Bombyx mori: one gene and its partner. The protein of the gene in region 1 interacts with the protein of each later gene in a pairwise test. Links are inferred from orthologs where the notes say so. Each region holds a gene or a part of one and is shown in the gene's direction. Other genes may lie near its edges. The genes, in order: electron transfer flavoprotein subunit alpha, mitochondrial; electron-transfer-flavoprotein beta polypeptide.

What was found.
Region 2: the proteins of electron transfer flavoprotein subunit alpha, mitochondrial (region 1) and electron-transfer-flavoprotein beta polypeptide interact in a two-hybrid assay, tested with the Drosophila melanogaster proteins (2 studies listed by BioGRID). The link is inferred for Bombyx mori from reciprocal best matches to the Drosophila melanogaster genes wal and Etfb.

The regions. Positions count from the first base shown.
Region 1 is NC_085111.1:13,689,155-13,693,670, forward strand, and holds the start of electron transfer flavoprotein subunit alpha, mitochondrial, read left to right. Parts: upstream 1-1,669; 5' UTR 1,670-2,044; coding exon 2,045-2,086; intron 2,087-2,318; coding exon 2,319-2,459; intron 2,460-2,818; coding exon 2,819-3,083; intron 3,084-3,444; coding exon 3,445-3,660; intron 3,661-4,040; coding exon 4,041-4,192; intron 4,193-4,516.
Region 2 is NC_085131.1:3,928,375-3,932,995, forward strand, and holds electron-transfer-flavoprotein beta polypeptide, read left to right. Parts: upstream 1-1,656; 5' UTR 1,657-1,724; coding exon 1,725-1,775; intron 1,776-2,243; coding exon 2,244-2,402; intron 2,403-2,665; coding exon 2,666-2,824; intron 2,825-2,903; coding exon 2,904-2,984; intron 2,985-3,334; coding exon 3,335-3,475; intron 3,476-3,954; coding exon 3,955-4,125; 3' UTR 4,126-4,228; downstream 4,229-4,621.

The DNA.
Region 1 (4,516 bases):
AAAATTAACTTTCTGTGGTGGTAATTATTTTAGTGCTAGAAACTTTGCTCTCTTTTATTTATTTGATAATAATAGAAGACGACTATGATTTATAAACGTTATTTAGTGTTTGAACCAGCATATATATTAAAGGTAAGTCTCAGTTGTTATTGGTTTTAATGTATTTGATTAAATAAAAATATATGTAAAAATCTGTTGTTTTTGGGGATATTGGGGACGTCTTAGGTACAAATAACAACGACAAAGGGGTCAATTGGGATGAGAATACGTGAAATGGAAACGACCTAAGTACAAATAGGTACAGGTTTGTAGGGTTGTCTATGTAGTTATAACAATATTTTTTAAATTTGTTGGTAAAAATCTGGTTTATTCGAAGCGAAATAGGGAATAAGTCTTTAGTTGAAATAGATAAGCAATTTAATATAAGTAAGTCGATTTTGCAGAGACATGTAACAAGATCAATGAAATCTCAAGGTGGACAAAAATGTCTAAGTAATATATTTAATATTTGAAAAATAAATATTTAATATTTGTTCAGAGTGGGGGTATTCATCTGATTAATCCATGGAATAACCGACACACCTAATCTCTTAACCCAGATAGAAATATCAGCACTATCGATTGCACCTATAATTGAGGTGATGTCTGCCATGTACTTTTGTCAGTTTTTAAATTTTTTTTATTGATGATCACTTTGTTGGTGCAACTAAATAAATAAATTAATTAAAACTATATATAAAAATGAAAGTAGTGCCAACCCTAGCAAATTTCTCATTTCGTCCCAATTAACCGCAATTTTCGGGTAAATAGGGATTACAGCTATTTTTGCATTTTTTGCTTAAACTGGAATGCTAGTTGCATAATTTTAAATTAGACAACAAAGATGCCCCCAAGACTCAATCATTTTGATCCTGATATAGCATTATATACATCAACAACTATCTTAAAATTGCTCATAAAGTTGGAATTTGTCCCTAGTCGCCCCATTTTACGGTATATGTCTATGAAATTTATCAATAACTTTATTGTGAAATCAAAAGCGTTTTTATTAATATCTGTTATCCACGCAATGGAAACTGAACTAGACTACAGTTAAAATCACGATTCACGACAACGCTTTATCTAATAAATAGTGCTACTCAGCAAAATTAGATTTTTTTAGTCTGCATAATTTCGAATTAGTTAAATCTGTGTAAGGAGTTAAATCTGTGTAAGGAGTTATAGTGTACTGCATTTACCTTCAGTGAGCCACATTCACCTCTCGCGGCAAAACACGAGTACAACTCGGATTCAAGTAACTTTTTAAATTTTCGGATAAAAGGCTTATTACACTTGGCTAAATTTAGTCGACTGAATTTAGTCGGTACTGAATTCAGTGAAGTGTAACAGCATTCAGTAAGCTAGCCTACTAAATTCAGTAGCAAGGATGGTTTCTGACTGACTAAATTATTAAGAAGCCTAATTAGAAACGCATTTAGAAAAGCGAGGACTACGCCAAGACCAATTTTTTGTTGTCTAGACAATACTAGGGCCATCCTCTTATACACACGACACGTCCAACTTCGTCGCGCTTAAGCTGGCAATTGATTCAGTAACTGAATTAAGAATAGTGTAATCAGAAGTTTCTAACTTGCTTCTGAATTCAGTCGTAAATTTAGCCAAGTGTAATAAGCCTTTAACGCCACGCGGACGTCAACATGTTCTATAAAATCTCAATAAATTTCTACTGCTTTAAAGAGAGTTTAATATATTTCATGTCATCCCACAGCTGTTATATTATCTTACCTATTATAATTCAATTTGATTTCATTATTTAATCAACTCAACCAGCACAATCGTTAAATGTTACATTTTATTTAATAAACATGACTTCTATTTTTCCTACAAAATGGCATGCACTTCGTTCCCTTTGCTTGTCTTAGCCACGAATCAAATAAAAACCTCTTGTCATTTTTGAACATTGGACTTTGTAACCTAGATTTAAGTTTAATAAATTATTTAATAAATAAAAACAGATTTCCTGAACAAAATCTTGCTTATCAAAATGTTTGCACCCAATAGCAGGCATTTATTTTTGTCTGGACAGGTTGGAAACTTTATTATTATATTGAGATCCTAAAACTTAGATTATTAACCTCTAGATGAGATTAGTCTTAAAACTTATATGTTAATTTCAAGGGTCGAGGTCACGATGTGAGTTATGATAATTATTGTTCAATTGGATTTTAGAAATAAATAGGTGCATAAGTAATTTAGACCCATTTTTAAATATATTTTCCTAATATATTACTGAATTGTAATAGCGACTCTAATTTCAGCTGCGTCGTTTGCAAAGTACTTTAGTGCTCGCCGAGCACAACAATGAGGTACTATCTCCAGCAACCCAAAATACATTGAATGCTGCCAAGAAAATTGGAGGTGATGTCTCAGTGCTTGTGGCTGGAACCAAATGTGGACCTGTATGTTTTTATTTTGAAGCTAATTTAACAAACAATAAGTACAGTTTCGGGTTTTAGTCTTGGAACCAATTAATAATAAGTATTGGCATCTTATGTAATCTCGTTATATGAATATATATCAAGTCAATTTTAATCAGAATCCTGTAATAGAATGCCATGGTTCTGTAATTAGCTATTGTATGTGAAGGATGTCATATTTAAAGTAGAGTTACTTAAATATTAAAAATTGCTAGAATATCAAATATTAAGTACAATGTAATGTCATGGGACAGTGCAGTCAGTACTAATTGCAGAGCTTACCTATAATTGTACTATTATCATTTTCCTAATAAAAAACTTTTAAATTTGACTTCTTTCAGGCTGCAGAATCCATTGCTAAGGCAAATGGTATATCTAAAGTTTTAGTGGCTGAGAGTGATGTCTTTAAAGGTTTTACTGCTGAAACCCTGACTCCTCTGATTTTGGCTACACAAAAACAGTTCAAATTCACTCATATCTTAGCACCAGCAACTGCTTTCGGAAAGACGGTGCTGCCACGAGTTGCGGCCAAGCTTGATGTGTCACCAATAACTGATATCATTGGTATCAAGGATGCTAATACCTTTGTGAGAACAATTTATGCTGGTGAGGTCCTATTGATCATGTACATTTTGTATATATCATTTTTACATTCATTATTCATACATCTTTGTAAAGCCTCTGGCTCTATGCTCAGTGTATTTCCAGAGCTCTTTTATACAATTTATCAACCTCAACAAACTTCCCTCCATGGTATTCCTTGAGCTCTAAAACATTTCATTTTTCAAATGTGCCTTCGGGAGTGTTCTCTATGGTGGGCAATGGCAAACGTCCTTATGTAATGCCAGCAATGTCACTCAAATGTCACATGGGCCATAAGCTCATTGCCCTATGAAGGTAATAAAAACAGTCTGTTAGTTCAACTGAAATTAATGTTAATTAATGATTAATTGATTGATATTTTTAGGTAACGCTATATTAACCCTTGAGGCCAAAGATCCTATCAAGGTCATCACTGTTCGTGGCACAGCATTCCCTGCAGAGCCATTGGAGGGAGGGTCTGCAGCAATTGATAAAGCACCTGAGGGCGACTATAAGACTGATCTGGTTGAATTTTTAAAGCAGGAATTGACCAAATCTGACAGACCAGAACTCACTAGTGCTAAGAATATTGTATCTGGTGGTAAGATATTATAGTTAAAAAATAATAATAATAAATAATCAATGCTTAATTTAATTGCTTGGTCTAATTTAATAGAAACTTTAAAATTAATGTAATGTAGAATTCATAGGACTAAAATTCCACTATTTAAACTCTCGTTATCTTATAGGTCTTAAAAGCAACGAATGGTTCTACTGGTTCTGCTAAAATACTGCAATTATCTTACTGCATTATTATTGTACTGTAAACCCTCATAGATAGATACCAATATGCTGCCTATTTCTGTTATGTGGATGACCTGTAAGAGTGCTCACACATCTACATAATAAAAAGATACTTTTCAAAATTATATTCAAATTACACATCAGAATTATTCAAAGTGTAATGTTGTTATTTGACAGGACGAGGCTTGAAGTCTGGTGACAACTTCAAGTTGTTGTATGATCTAGCTGATAAGTTGAATGCGGCCGTGGGTGCCTCTCGTGCAGCTGTCGATGCTGGCTTTGTACCCAACGACCTACAGATTGGACAGACTGGCAAGATTGTTGCTCCTGTTAGTATTAAATTTATATTTAATTAGGTGTGCTTTCTTTGAATCTCATACACTTTAGATTTGACATTGAATACACAACTCTATCAGAATGTCACAGATACAGGGTGTATAGAACTCCTTTATGATTCCTAACACAAAAGCATACAAATTATTTAAAAAATGTATTTCTTTTTCGACTGGAAAGAAACTTCTTTTGCTCATAATATAACAAATTTCATACAAAAATCAATTGAGGTGGTAGATTTATGGTCGTAAAATGTCATAGATGTATATGTCATATAAAGCTTTTGTGAATTTAGTTTTAGATTGTCGTTTTACAATAAA
Region 2 (4,621 bases), on another chromosome or scaffold:
TTAGTTGGTTAAAATTGGTTAATGCTGCTTTTGTGTCTGTTTTTTGGACTCTCATTAGATACTTAGCTTTCCTTTTTTATTTTAGCTTTCCTAGCAATCACGTGTGCAGAATGGATCTCGATTGTCGCCAGAGAAACAAGAGATGACTTTTATAAGCCAGCTAAGATCTCCGCTCATTGACACTGGACATCTTTGTCTTCCGTGCTCACGGCTACTGAAACGTGGCCGAAACATTGTAATAAAAATACCGCGCTTGAAACCGTTTAAACGTTGTTTTATTATGTGCACTGGTCGCGAAAACTTAAAAATATACTATAAAAATATATATTACACAAAAACGCAACGCTAATAAAATAATAAATAATGTATAGATACTAACAAACATAAATTTCCAAAACATAAAAAGTAAACAACTAAACTTTTGCTTTTATTCATTAATAAATTATTTTAGTGTTCAACGCGACTCCCTTACCTCCTGTAGTAAACAGAAATCGAAATTTCAAGAAGCAAAAATAAATAAAACAAAACGATGTTTGTTCTCAGAGCAATAAAGGGAAAAAGTACTTTATTTGTTGTCACTTAAGGTTGATTTAACATTAAAAATTGTTTAACATATGTTTTTTTATTTGTAAGTGACAGGATTAATTTATTACTTTGCTCATTTTATGTGACGAATGATCGTAAGTATTAGATAATGTTTTGGAGATTTGTGGCTTTATTACAAAGTACCATAGTTGTAATTAGTTTGAACTTAAAACTGTTTCAAAACTTTTTTCTCCGTTTGTTAGTAAACGAATGTAGCTATAGGTGTATATTCACGCGGACAGCTTTTGCTTTAATTTTGTACGTGTCCCTTTATCTAGTTACTATTGATGATCGAAGTTTAGGAAGCATAAATAAAATACAGAAAATAAACCATAGCATATTATTTAATGTAGGTATATATAATAACAAAACGCCCACAGAAGATCATAGATCTATAGGATTAGAATTTTTGGGAAGTCGACGCATTGCTTTTATATTATTTTGCTGCACGCAACATAACGCTGTTCGGTTCTAAGATTGAGCAATTGTTTGCTAGCATTTTAAGCTTTGTATGAAGCAAGCCTTTCGGGGTGTCATTAAAATCCTGTTTCTTTTGTCAGTTTTTACATTTTTAAGAACACTGAATAATCTTTCCACTTCAGTCTTTGAAGAAGGAACTGCTAGTAAAAGTGAAACGGCAACTTCAAGGTTTTCGTAAATGAAATTACCACGATAATCTTTCATGGTTCATGAAGTACCTATATATTACAATACGAGTAGGTTCTGGTGACATAGGTAAATAAAATTTTGGCGGATTACACTTATTAGGATTCTGGGGAATTCCTAAGAAAAAAGCAGTGGTTTAGTCTATGATTTACTTTACTACAAGGTTACTAGTATAGGCTTTGCGTTTTACCCCGAAATTCCCTAAATCCTTGTATTATTCAAATTGTCTTTAACCATCCAAAATATCAACTGTTTTTCCCTAAAAAAAGGAGAATTCTCTAAAAGTGGACACACTGTGACCCAGCGAAGTTCCACAGATTATTATATATGTTAATAACGTTTTAAAGTTTTGCTCTCTTTGTTAGTAATCTGTGGATATTTTAAATTTGGACTTCGTACCTACCTGTTAGTTTGTTTTCGTTAATATTTAGTCCTTTAATTATTACGCCTTTTAGATACTAATTAAAAGAAAAATGTCTCGTGTTCTTGTTGGCGTTAAGAGAGTTATCGACTATGCTGTAAAAGTAAGTTATATGAAAGTGCAAAGGTTATTTTTTATGCACCGTTTTTATTAATAAAAGAATAATAAATAGTTAATAATTTTGAATACGTGTATATACATACATATATAACCAATAAAGACTGTAACTGTCCAATTGTATTTGGAATATAGTACCTTTGCGTTTCTAAGCTATTCTTATCTATAATCTTTCATAATAGCCTTGATTAATGACCCTTTGCCACTTGGCAATCTTTTCGACCACTTAAATTAAGATTACATTACTGATAAAATCCTTTAACTCCGAACTATACTATACTAAAATTTAAAATGACGCACTTAGTTAGATCCTAATAGACTTTTTTTAATTCAATAGTAAAGTTGATTACTTACTAAAGTTAGTATAATTAATTAATAAGTTTTTTGGCAAGTGTGTGCAATGTAATATGAAATTTAGTATCACAAAGAGGATTAATATGAATTTTATATTCAGATTCGTGTGAAGCCAGACAAGTCTGGTGTAGTCACAGATGGGGTGAAGCACTCAATGAATCCTTTTGATGAGATAGCAGTAGAGGAGGCTGTTCGAATGAAAGAAAAAAAGTTAGCAAGCGAAGTCATTGCAGTCTCTTGTGGACCATCACAAGCACAGGTATCCATTAAAAAAAATGCAGATTGGTTAAATGTTCATGTTAAACTAATAAAATTATAATTCATTTTAAATAAAATTTCATTTAAAAAGAACAATTTATTCTAATCGGTCTTTTTAACACTAATGACTTCAATTTCTTATAAAAATAATAAATTAATTTAAGAATAAATTTCATCTATTAGTAGTAAAAGAATTGTTTATAGTCTCATTATAATTTTTTTACATACTTTTTGAGGCTAAAGCTTGTTTATTTTATTATAAAGGAAACTCTCAGAACTGCTCTTGCGATGGGTGCAGATCGAGCTATTCATGTTGAAGTGGCTGGGGCTGAATATGACACATTACAGCCCATTCATGTTGCAAAAATCTTAGCAAAACTGTCACAAGATGAGAAGGCAGACTTAGTTATTGTTGGCAAACAGGTAACAACAATTAAAAATGCATATATTTTTTTATGTCATTGTGTCATAAATACCTAAAACTTTCTTTTTAATTTTTAAGGCCATAGATGATGACTCCAACCAGACAGCACAGATGACTGCTGCTTTATTAGATTGGCCACAAGGAACATTTGCATCAAAGGTAATTTTTATAATTTGTAAATAGAACTAATGAATTAAGTTATAATTCGTTTTCAATAATAACCAATTATTACAAGTTTTTATTCAGTGATTAAAAAAAACAACCCATCAATTTTGTTTAAAATGATGCTCTTTTCTTCTTTAATGCAAGAAGTCATAAGTTCAATATTGGGATTACCGAATTATCTAACATCTTCAATTTAAGTGAACATAAATACATTCAACTGTACCACCGGTGTGCTGTATTGGCCGCCTGTAAGCAATGTATTGACAATTTTAATGACATATGCATAATTATCCTAGCCAAACCTTCAATTACAATAAACAGTAACAAATTCATCTTTATTGTAGATAGAAAAGACTGATGGTGCTCTAACTATAACCCGTGAAATTGATGGAGGTTTAGAGGTTATCAAGACAAAAATCCCAGCTGTACTGAGTGCTGATCTGCGACTGAATGAACCACGATATGCTACACTGCCTAACATCATGGTAAATACAACTCTAAAGTTATATACTAATATGGAAATTAGAAGAACATACACTGATACACTGCAGATAAAGAACCCCAAGTTCCATATTAAGCTGTGCCTGATAAATTGTTGTTGTTTTGGATGTATAGATTTCCATTGAGAATTGAAAAGGATGAACTATTCTTGATAAGTTGATTAATGCCTCATACAATTTAAACTTTCAATACAACGATTGCTAACTATTCTTGATAAGTTGAACAACTTCAAATATAATATTTTCAATAAAAATCATAATATTTTCAATAAAAATCATAATATTTTCATTTAGTTCTCAGCACACCATTTTTATCACATAAAAAATTTAATTTATTAATTGTAACATGGTTGTTATCAATATTGTAATTGATTCATGATAAATTTTTTGAATACATGGAATATATACAGTCTCTATTTTAGTTGGGAAGGATCCTCATCTACCGTAATTTATATTTGTTTTAGAAAGCAAAGAAGAAGCCTCTCAAAAAAGTAAGTGCCAAAGACCTTGGGGTGGACCTGGCACCTCGTATCAAGGTGGTCTCTGTGGAAGATCCTCCAGTCCGACAGGCTGGCTCCATCATACCTGATGTCGACACTCTCGTTGCTAAGCTTAAGGAAGGCGGACATGTGTAATCGTAAATCGAACTTTTAATTTATCAATAGTGAAAAATCATAGGGAACATTTTTATATTAAATGTTTATAGAATCATGTTTTATGTATATTGTTAATGTAATTATTGACATTGTTTACTTTTTTGTCTTTTAATTAAAAACTCCCATTTCATCGTTAAGAAATTCAGAATTAAATATTTCACATTTGGGTTAATTATATATTAATAGGCTTTTCTAACGAAACAAATCATTTGCTGGTGGTAGGACCTCTTGTGAGTCCGCACAAGTATCACTGCCTTGGCTATTTCTGCCGTGAAGCAGTAATGCGTTTCGGTTTGAAGGTTGAGGCAGCTGTCGTAATTATACTGAGACCTTACATCTCTTATCTCAAGGTGAATGGCGGTATTAACATTGTAGATTGAAGGGCTTCGGTAACCACTTTACACTTGGTGGGCCGTGAACTCGTCCACCCATCATTTTTTTTATTTTTTATTTATTGCTTAGATGGGTGGACGAG